2 linked regions of the Xenopus tropicalis genome follow. The protein of the gene in region 1 purifies or fractionates together with the protein of each later gene. This does not show direct contact. Links are inferred from orthologs where the notes say so. Each region holds a gene or a part of one and is shown in the gene's direction. Other genes may lie near its edges. The genes, in order: itga2 and itgb1.

What was found.
Region 2: the proteins of itga2 (region 1) and itgb1 purify together in Homo sapiens (co-immunoprecipitation; 3 studies listed by BioGRID and IntAct, with this or other methods). This does not show direct contact. The link is inferred for Xenopus tropicalis from reciprocal best matches to the Homo sapiens genes ITGA2 and ITGB1.

What each region holds. Positions count from the first base shown.
Region 1 is NC_030677.2:192,671,121-192,675,509, reverse strand, and holds the start of itga2 (integrin alpha-2), read left to right. Parts: upstream 1-1,323; 5' UTR 1,324-1,522; coding exon 1,523-1,571; intron 1,572-4,389. UniProt on the Homo sapiens protein: Integrin alpha-2/beta-1 is a receptor for laminin, collagen, collagen C-propeptides, fibronectin and E-cadherin. It recognizes the proline-hydroxylated sequence G-F-P-G-E-R in collagen.
Region 2 is NC_030682.2:22,870,753-22,875,112, forward strand, and holds the start of itgb1 (integrin beta-1 precursor), read left to right. Parts: upstream 1-1,295; 5' UTR 1,296-1,397; intron 1,398-4,360.

The sequences.
Region 1 (4,389 bases):
GGACACTCGCCCGCATACACCCCAGCAGGTTTCAGGTAAGCAATAGTGGTGAGCGAATCTGTCCCGTTTCGGTAAAAAATTTGTGAAATTTGCAAAAGATTCGCGAAACGGCTAAAAATTAGCAAAACGCGGAAAACCAAAATTTTTGTGTCGCGTGGCAAATTTGTGCGAAACATGGAAAATTGCTGCAAATCCATGCCTGCCGAAAAATGTTGGGATTAAAAGAAATCGATTAAAGTCACTGGGGGTGCCAAACATTTTAGCACCGCCCCCAGTAATGTAGCCTTTCCTTCTTCTTTAAACATTAAATAAACACAATGGAATTATTTGTTAAAGTTATGTTTTATGTTTTTTCACCAGGCATGTATATGCTGCGAAATTCCCCATTTCGCCATTGGTGAATTTTTTCGTGAAAATGCTGCATCAAATAAGCAGTGGTCACATCAAAAAAACCACAGTCGCGTCAAATAAGTTGCAGTCACATCTAGTGATGGGCGAAAAAAATTCACCAGGCATGGATTCGCAGCGAATTTACGCGTTTCGCCATTGGCAGATTTTTTGGTGAAATGGAAAAAAATTGGTGCAGAAAAATTTGCCGCGCATCCAAAAATTGTCTCCCGTGTCAAAAGAATTGTTGCGAGTGTCAAAAGAATTGTTGCGAGTAGCAAAAGCATTGTTGCGCATCAAAAAAGAATTGTCTTGCATCAAACATATTGTCGCGTGTCTACCGTATTGTCGAGCCACAGACATATTATTGCGTGTCAACCAAAAGAATTGTCTCTCGCGTCAAAAGAATTGTCGCACGTCAAACGTATTATCGTGCAACAATTTTTTTTGATGCACAGCATTTTCCCTGTTTCGCGAATTTTTCGCAGTTTCGTAAATCTTTTGAAAGATTCACGTGGGAGTGACATACACATAGTCACGGCCACATCAAATAAGTCGCAGTCACGTCAAATAAGTTGCGTCAAAAAAGTCACACACATCGAAAAAATTCGCAAATTTTTTGTAATTTCACCAATTTTCCAGTGAAGCAAAACGGGACAGATTCGCTCATCACTAATGGCAATTACTTTTGTACGTTGTACTTGTATGTGTTTAATTTTTTATACCTACCCTTCTGTCTGTACTAGCAGCACTACTACACTGTCTGCCTTTGCCTTTAGCTTGTTGTGAGTGTCTGTGCAAACACAATTCTATCACATCCTGGGGCACATCCTACCTTTATTGGCTACTGATTGCATTCCAGCGTTTGCACACTCATCCCTATCAGTGTGACAGAGTTGTGTGGGTGAGGAGGAGGAGGAGGAGGAAGGGGTAGGACTGGCTGTATTTGCAGACATGAGTGTAAGTGTAGAGAAGCAGCGCTTAGCTGTGTGACTGCTCCTCCCAGACCAGTGACTGTGCCAGTAGATAAATACTGTACAAGGGCAGCCTGCCGAGTCACTTTGCACATTGGGATTATCACTGGGAACAGAGAAGTTTGGAACTCACTGTAACAAGGTCCCTGATTGTTTGGCTGATGGCGAGAACAACTTGCATTCCTTGGCTGCTGCTGGTAATACTACAAGGTACAGAACATTTTGTAATACTTGCTACTTTCTGTCTAGAATGTACTGTATCTAGAACTATAGAACCCCCCAAATACCTGGGCTTTTCCTGCTGATGTCCCATAATTCTTTGTAAGCCAACAAAGTACTGTTCGCTTTATTTCATAGTTCTCTCCCTAGTCTCCACAGCTACTGGGTTGGACTCCTTTTGGTTTTAAAACTTGACCAACTGCACAGAAGAATATGATTGATCTTATCACCAGAAATATGAGCTTAGTAGCTTCTCTTTCTTAATTGGGAATGGATGAAAGGCAACTGCATTGCTTTATAAATAAATGTTAATAATAATAATAATTGCTGTAGCCATGATCATAGTAAGGCAGTAGCTGAGGCTTCAGGTACATTAGGACCAATTTTGGTGCATGGTTTGTATGGTGCACAGCGACAAGATATTTCTGGAAATTTTTGTTCATTGTGGAAACTATGTTCTTACTATATATTACTAATACGTTTACTGAGCAAAATGCAGTATTTCCATATGCCACAGGGCTGTCAGTAGATATGGCAAGCTATACTGTCACCATACAGTAGTGCTATACCCTGCAGCCCTACTGTACCTAGAAATGCTGATCTGTGGAGTCAATACTGTCCCAGGACAGTAGTCCCTTTTTGCCCTATAAACATGAAAGTAATGTAAGTAAGGGCTTCATATACAGAAAGAACTGTAACACTGTGCCACATATCCAGTAACTTATTTGTTTCCAGTACATCAGATTGTAAGCTCTGCAGGGCAGGGACATCATTGCATCAGTGTCTCTAAGCTCCATATCCTCTCTGTAATATTTGTAACTATTTGTATCATTTACCCTTCCCCGACTGTACAGCAATGTGTACCCCAGTAGCACTATATAGTGAGAGATATACAGGGAAGCATTCAGTATGTGGAATTTAAGAGCCAGATACACAGTAATGTAGGCAGAAATGCAAGGGGGGGGGGGGTGTAGGAGGTTAACAGTTCCTTTGATTCTGTTCTCTGGAGACCATTAAAATTCTTTGCGTAACCTCTTATCTACGGGCTGCATCCCACGTCTTTCTTGTAGTCTGTACTATCAGTGCAGCTTGGAAGTATCCTATGTATGTATGTTGTGCCCACGGTCGGTATAATACAGTGGAATGGAAATGAATGGATATTGGTACACAGATTTTTTTGTTTTCTGCATCAATTTTGGCCATTTTCTGCTCTTTTGGGCAGGACTCTCTTCACCTCTTGTATCGGTTATTGATTGCTTTATATGTTACTCTGTATGTCCAATGTATGTAACCCACTTATTGTACAGCGCTGCGGGATATGTTGGCGCTTTATAAATAAATGTAATAATAATAATAATAATAATATGAGGCAAAACACATAGGAAATTAAAGAAAAGTTGTTGCTATTTTTTGTATGACATAGGAAAGCTCATATAATAAATTCCCTGATTTAACTACTAGAGTGCTAAGGGCACTTTGCATCTGATGGATTTGGTCCAACAGTGGGTGCATGGTACAAAGCACAGTGCTATGGGGGGGGGGGGAGCCTTTAACTTTAACTGGGTTGGAATGGGGTGTGGTCTGGGTAGAATAGGGGTGTGGCCAGTTACAAAATATTTTGGTGACCTGTGGTATTTAGTGTGTATAACTTTATAGAGGACTGTGTGGGTCAGCCCAGACCCACACACTCATAATCCTACCCAGACTTGTGCCCCCACATTCCATAATCCAGCCAAACAAGAGGCTTGCTATAGCCAACTCTCCCCTATGTAAAATAGGGTTGCCACCTGTCTGGTTTTACCTACACAGTGCAGTTTTTAGAAGGGCATGGTGTTTTACTGAGCTTATCTGTTATCTGCTATGTAACCTGTGCCTTTTCTCCTTTATCATCTTGAATGGCTGCCCGTATGGCTACAGAGCAGCTAGTTTATATAAATTCTAGTAGTCTTTCTGAAGCAAGCCAACAACCTTTCCCAGGGCAGGGAACAGTACTTTATATATTTCACCTTTAAATTTCACCCCAGGGAGAAAAAAATGCAAAATATTCAAGAAGAAGAGAAAAAAAATGAGAACCAACTGGAAAAGCTGCCTTGATTCAGTCCATCATGCTAAATGTTAGTTGAAAGTTCAATTCCAATAAAAAAGGAGACAATGATTGATCCTAACAGTTGTAATGCAATAGTGTGCCGTCCCTATCCCTGGGAATGAGATGCCGTGCAGCACCTAACCATATAGCAGTGCATTTGTGTCTTTTATAAGTGTCATTTACATGAGAAACGGAAGTTACATTCATGTGGTTTATACTGTATGGCCAGTTAGATAAGCAGCGGGAAGGACTTTCACATTAACATTAGCCAAATATGTTTGTGGTTGGAGAGAAAAAACAACTTTACATGAATCCTTGGTTACAAGCAGAGCATAAACAGAGCATTAATGCCGGCGAGTAGCACATTTTCCTGCCCCAGCAATGTCTCTGCTTGTTCATTCACTGAGCCTGGGATTCATCCCTGTGGAATGCATGGCTCCAGGGTGTCAAGTGATAATGAGGAGGTTTCAGCTTGCTGGTGTGTATATTGTTAGACATGATTCTATGGCTCGATGTAGAGACCCACAACTATATATGTGCCTTATAAATAAGTACCTACTGGCCTGTGGTCTACAGGGTCTGTATAGTAAGTCTGAGAGGGTTACATGTAAATGTATGAAATAGTTTACCCTGGAACAGTAACATATAGTTACCAGTTAGTGGAGTAAAGATCTGATAGAACAATGAAAGCACATATGTGATTGGTTGTTATGGGTTACTAGA
Region 2 (4,360 bases), on another chromosome or scaffold:
GAGCCTGAGGTGTGAACACTGCAGGGGGTGAACCATGCAGGTATTAAAAGGTGTGAAAAACACAGGGGATTAAATTTTTAAACAATACAGAGGGATTACAGCCTGAATCTGAGGTGAGAACCATGCAGGGGGCCAGTTAATCTCAGTACTGATACCATTTAATGCTTACTCAAAGGTAAACCATCAAAGCAGCCAGACAGATGGGGGCCACACAGAGGGGGGTCGCGGGCCGCCAGTTGGACAGCACTGCCATAGACCATGGATCCCCAACCTTTTATACCTGTGAGCCACATTCAAGTGGAAAAAGTGTTGGGGAGCAACACAAGCATGGAAATGGTCCCTGGGGGTGCCAATAAGAGCTATAATTGGCTACTTAATAGCCCCTATGTGGACTGGCAGCCTACAGAAGGCTCTGTTTGGCATTATACTGGGTTTTTATGCAACCAAAACTTGCCTCCTTACCAGAAACTCAAAAATAAGCAGCTGCTTTGAAGCCACTGGGAGCAACATCCAAGGGGTTGGGGAGCAACATGTTGCTAAAGAGCCACTGGTTGGGAACCGCTGGCATAGACAGTCACTACTTATTGGCCCGGTGGGGGTGCTACTTTGGCCTTTGCGTACCTGAAATGCCAGGGCCTGATGCTGGGGTACCATTAGAATACGGCGGCACACAGATATTATTGCCACACTTGCCTGACTGGTAAAAATTAGGCTTCATGTCAATGTTATAAATAGATATAAATAAAAATATTGGAAGGCTGGTATTTTTTTCCAGAAAAGGTGGCAACCCTTCAGGCAGATGAACCCTACCCTGGGGATTGCTCGCCTGTGGCCTGAAGAATGAAACAAGAATCAGTAGAAGCGCCCAACAACATACAAACTGCTTTCAGCTACTGACTGCCATCAAACCATGTGGTACCAATAAACTGTACTGTACTACAAGCAAAGCTTATCCCCTGGAGTGTATGCCTATTGAGCTGTGGTACTGGTGCCAAGCTGTGCCAGATATCGGGAAGCGATCCCAGTGCTACTAATCAGACAGTATGGGGCAATAGCCGCCACTACACAGTGGCCATGTGGGAGCCCCTGCCCCCATCCCCCCCCATTCCCACGTAGCCAGTCCCGCCCTCCCACATCCTGACGTCACCGGGCTGGAATGCGCTTCCTGCGGCGCTTCTTGCTCTGGCTGTGCGCGTCCGTGTGAGTGCGGGGGCGCGCTTGTGGTGCGTCAGCGCAGGCTGGGTGCTACTCGGGAGGGGACCGTTACTGAGAGCGGACACTTCATTCAGCGCGCAGACCTGCCTGGGCTCGGAGGCCGCAATCTGAGGCAGCGCTTAGTCTGTGCGATTCAGCCCGGCAGGGCGCCGCTCCTGGGATCCAAGGGCCCCACGCCAAAGGTGAGCCGCCGCTCTGTGTTACCTGCATTCTGGCCCCAGTGTCCGCTCACTTGGTACAGTCTGTGCTTAGGGCATTGCTGCTCCGTATCTGCCTCCCTGTGGGGAATCCATATGGCTTAGAGAAGCCGGGACGTGTAGCAGCTACTTTGCACGCCGGGAGTTGTATTGTTTGTCAGTGATAGGTACAGGGGGGCAGACTTGGGGCTCTACAGCTGCTGGGAACTACTGCATTCACTCGCAGGGGATTGTGGGACTTGTAGTACATGCCACCTGGAGTTTTTCCATTGTGGAGTTTGTGCTTCAGTAGGTAGAGGGTTAATAGAGACTGGGGGAGGGGGTGACCTTGCTTAGGGGCAGCTTCCTATAAACTTTCCTTGTTGTGGGATCCCACCCTTCCAGGGCTGCAGCGCTCTCCCTCCTTAGTTACTGCGCTAATTACATGATCATGTGTGTAGGGGGCTCTGTGTAAGTGAATTGGGTGTCTGGCTGGGACTGTATGTACCCCCCCCCCCATAGAGACAGCAGGGAGTTTCCCTGCAGGAATGTGCACAGAGGGAGGCGGCAGAGGACATCCTGGGAGGGGTGAAGGGGGGGCAGTCTCCTTCTTTCTCTCTTTATTTTTAACAGTAGATCATTACCATAACCATAGATATTATTAACCAGGGCTCAGCCGGCCCACGCTGTCCCCTTTCCCTGTGTGTTCAGTAGGGCGCAGGGTAGTTGTGCCACGGTCACTATAAGTACAATATAGCACTGCTTCATTTGGCTGCTGGCTCCTAACAGAGTCTCCTAAGAGAAGGCGGCCCCCAGGCACGAATAATGGTTTGGCTGACACTGAGGGCACTTATATTGAGTTATGAGTGGGTGCTTGTATGTGGCTTTTTTTATTGAAGCCCGAGCAGCGTTTTAGCCCAGAGGCTTCCGAGGGTGGATGAGTCCCAAAACGTATTCTTGGCAGGGCCGGGTTCAAGGGTGGGTAACAGAGCCTAAATCTGTGCTGGGAACCTTATGAGATTAATGGTGAGGTAATCAGTATGACAAAGGAACTAAAATGTTCTGAAAGCTTGCTGTGATTATCTTAGTTAGCCAATAAAGGTATCGCCTTTATACCACTTTTATTTCTAAAGGGTTACCCTTATAAACATTTTGACTGGCTAACACAGTATATCACCTTTTCCTGCATGGTGAAGATTCAAATATAAATTCATAAAAGAGCTTTTATGAAACTCAGTGTCCCACTTTTCCTATGATTATCTGCCACCCCGGGCAGGCAGGGCCCTTTGTGCAGAGGATCAGGGTAGTCTGGATTATATAGAGGAGCAGCCACATTCTCTTTACAGATACTACACTTCAATTTAGCTGAAAGGACAACAATTACCATTTCCGCCCAGTAGGAGTGTAAAGCCACACTGGGGCTTATTGGCTTTGAGCAGCTGTGCACACAAGGTGCAAATCAGCACTCCCTGTGCCACCAGCACCTTATTTGCACCTTGATGTGACCTGCACATTGTTCATAGGTCCCAAGTGACTCCGTAGTTGTATCTAGGCACTGAGGGTCATTTATAAAATTTGCACAGTGCAGAATTATTCACACAGTGAACGTATTTACTCTACCTGTATTTATATTTATAAAGCTGGACAAGACTGGTGCGTTTAATGGGCAAATATAATTGCGAAATTTTTATTCACAGTGCAAATGCCCTTCAAGTTTTTTAAATATGGCATATTCGTAAATTGCGAATGTTTATGCGCGCAGTCTGTGTCCGCGCTATATTTATTCATAATAAATGGGCACAGAGGGCAAATCGCAGTCTCATTTGCGAATTTTTGTGCGCAATTCACATTTCACTGCGATTTGCATATATCTAGAAGGCATTTCCCTTGTGAGTAGAGGAGGCCATACCGGGCAGATTTTATCTGCCAGTGTGTGGGCACGAACAATGGGTCTGCCCGACCGAGATTTGGCCAATTTCAGGCCAGATGTTGACTGGGCAGGTTTGATTTTTCCGTCGTATCGGGAACCACATTGGCTCGTTGATGTGGCCCCTGTTTTAATTTGAATTCGCCTGATATTGCTCACCCATAGGTGAGTGTATTTGGAGAAGATACGTTTGATTGGTGACCTCGCCATAGAGTGGATCTTACCGTGTATGGCCAGCTTAAAAGTGGTAAAGTGACCCCCCCCTAGACCCTGTCTAAGCTCTAATATGAGCTGTGCTGGTTAACCCAAGATCAAACCTGTATACATCTAATCAAGATGGTGCTACTGAGAATATTCCCTAATATAGGTTTGTGTCAGAGAAAGAGATTTGTCACAGTGATTTATAAGTTAATTATCTGGAATTGTCTCCCCATCTGTGGGCAGCATGTTTTGTTAGGGTTATCAACTACAAATACATACGTTTTTTTCTTTTAGCATAGTGCTATTCTAAGGTAATTTGCAGTTGGTCTTGCATTGGTCTCTGTTTTTTATTTTCGTTCAGCAGATCTTCAGTGTTGAATTTTAGCATCTACCTGGTTGCCAGGGTCCAATTTAAACTAGAAACCAGGCAGTGGTTTGAAAGAGAGAGGGGATTATAGGAGGGCCTTAATAGAAAGATAAGTAATAAAACAATAACAAACTATTGCTCTGTGGGGCTACAGTTTAATTTTTACCTGCTGGGGTCAGCGACCCCCATTTGAAAGCTGGAAAGAGTCAGAAGTGGAAAGCAAATAATTCAAAAACTATAAAAATAAAAAAATCCAGTTGTAAGAATTCAGTTAATCTGAAGGTAAACAACGGCTTTCAGTCCTGCTTCCCCCATACACTTGCGTGCAGAAATCCCTTATACACTGGCGCAATGTATTTTAGAGAAGTGTGTGTTTGTGACAACATCTCCAGCTGTGATTTCTGTTTCCTGTCTGAAATGGAGTCCTTCCTGCCCGTGTCTGTCTGTAGTCTGACCGAACAGCAGTAGCCTTAT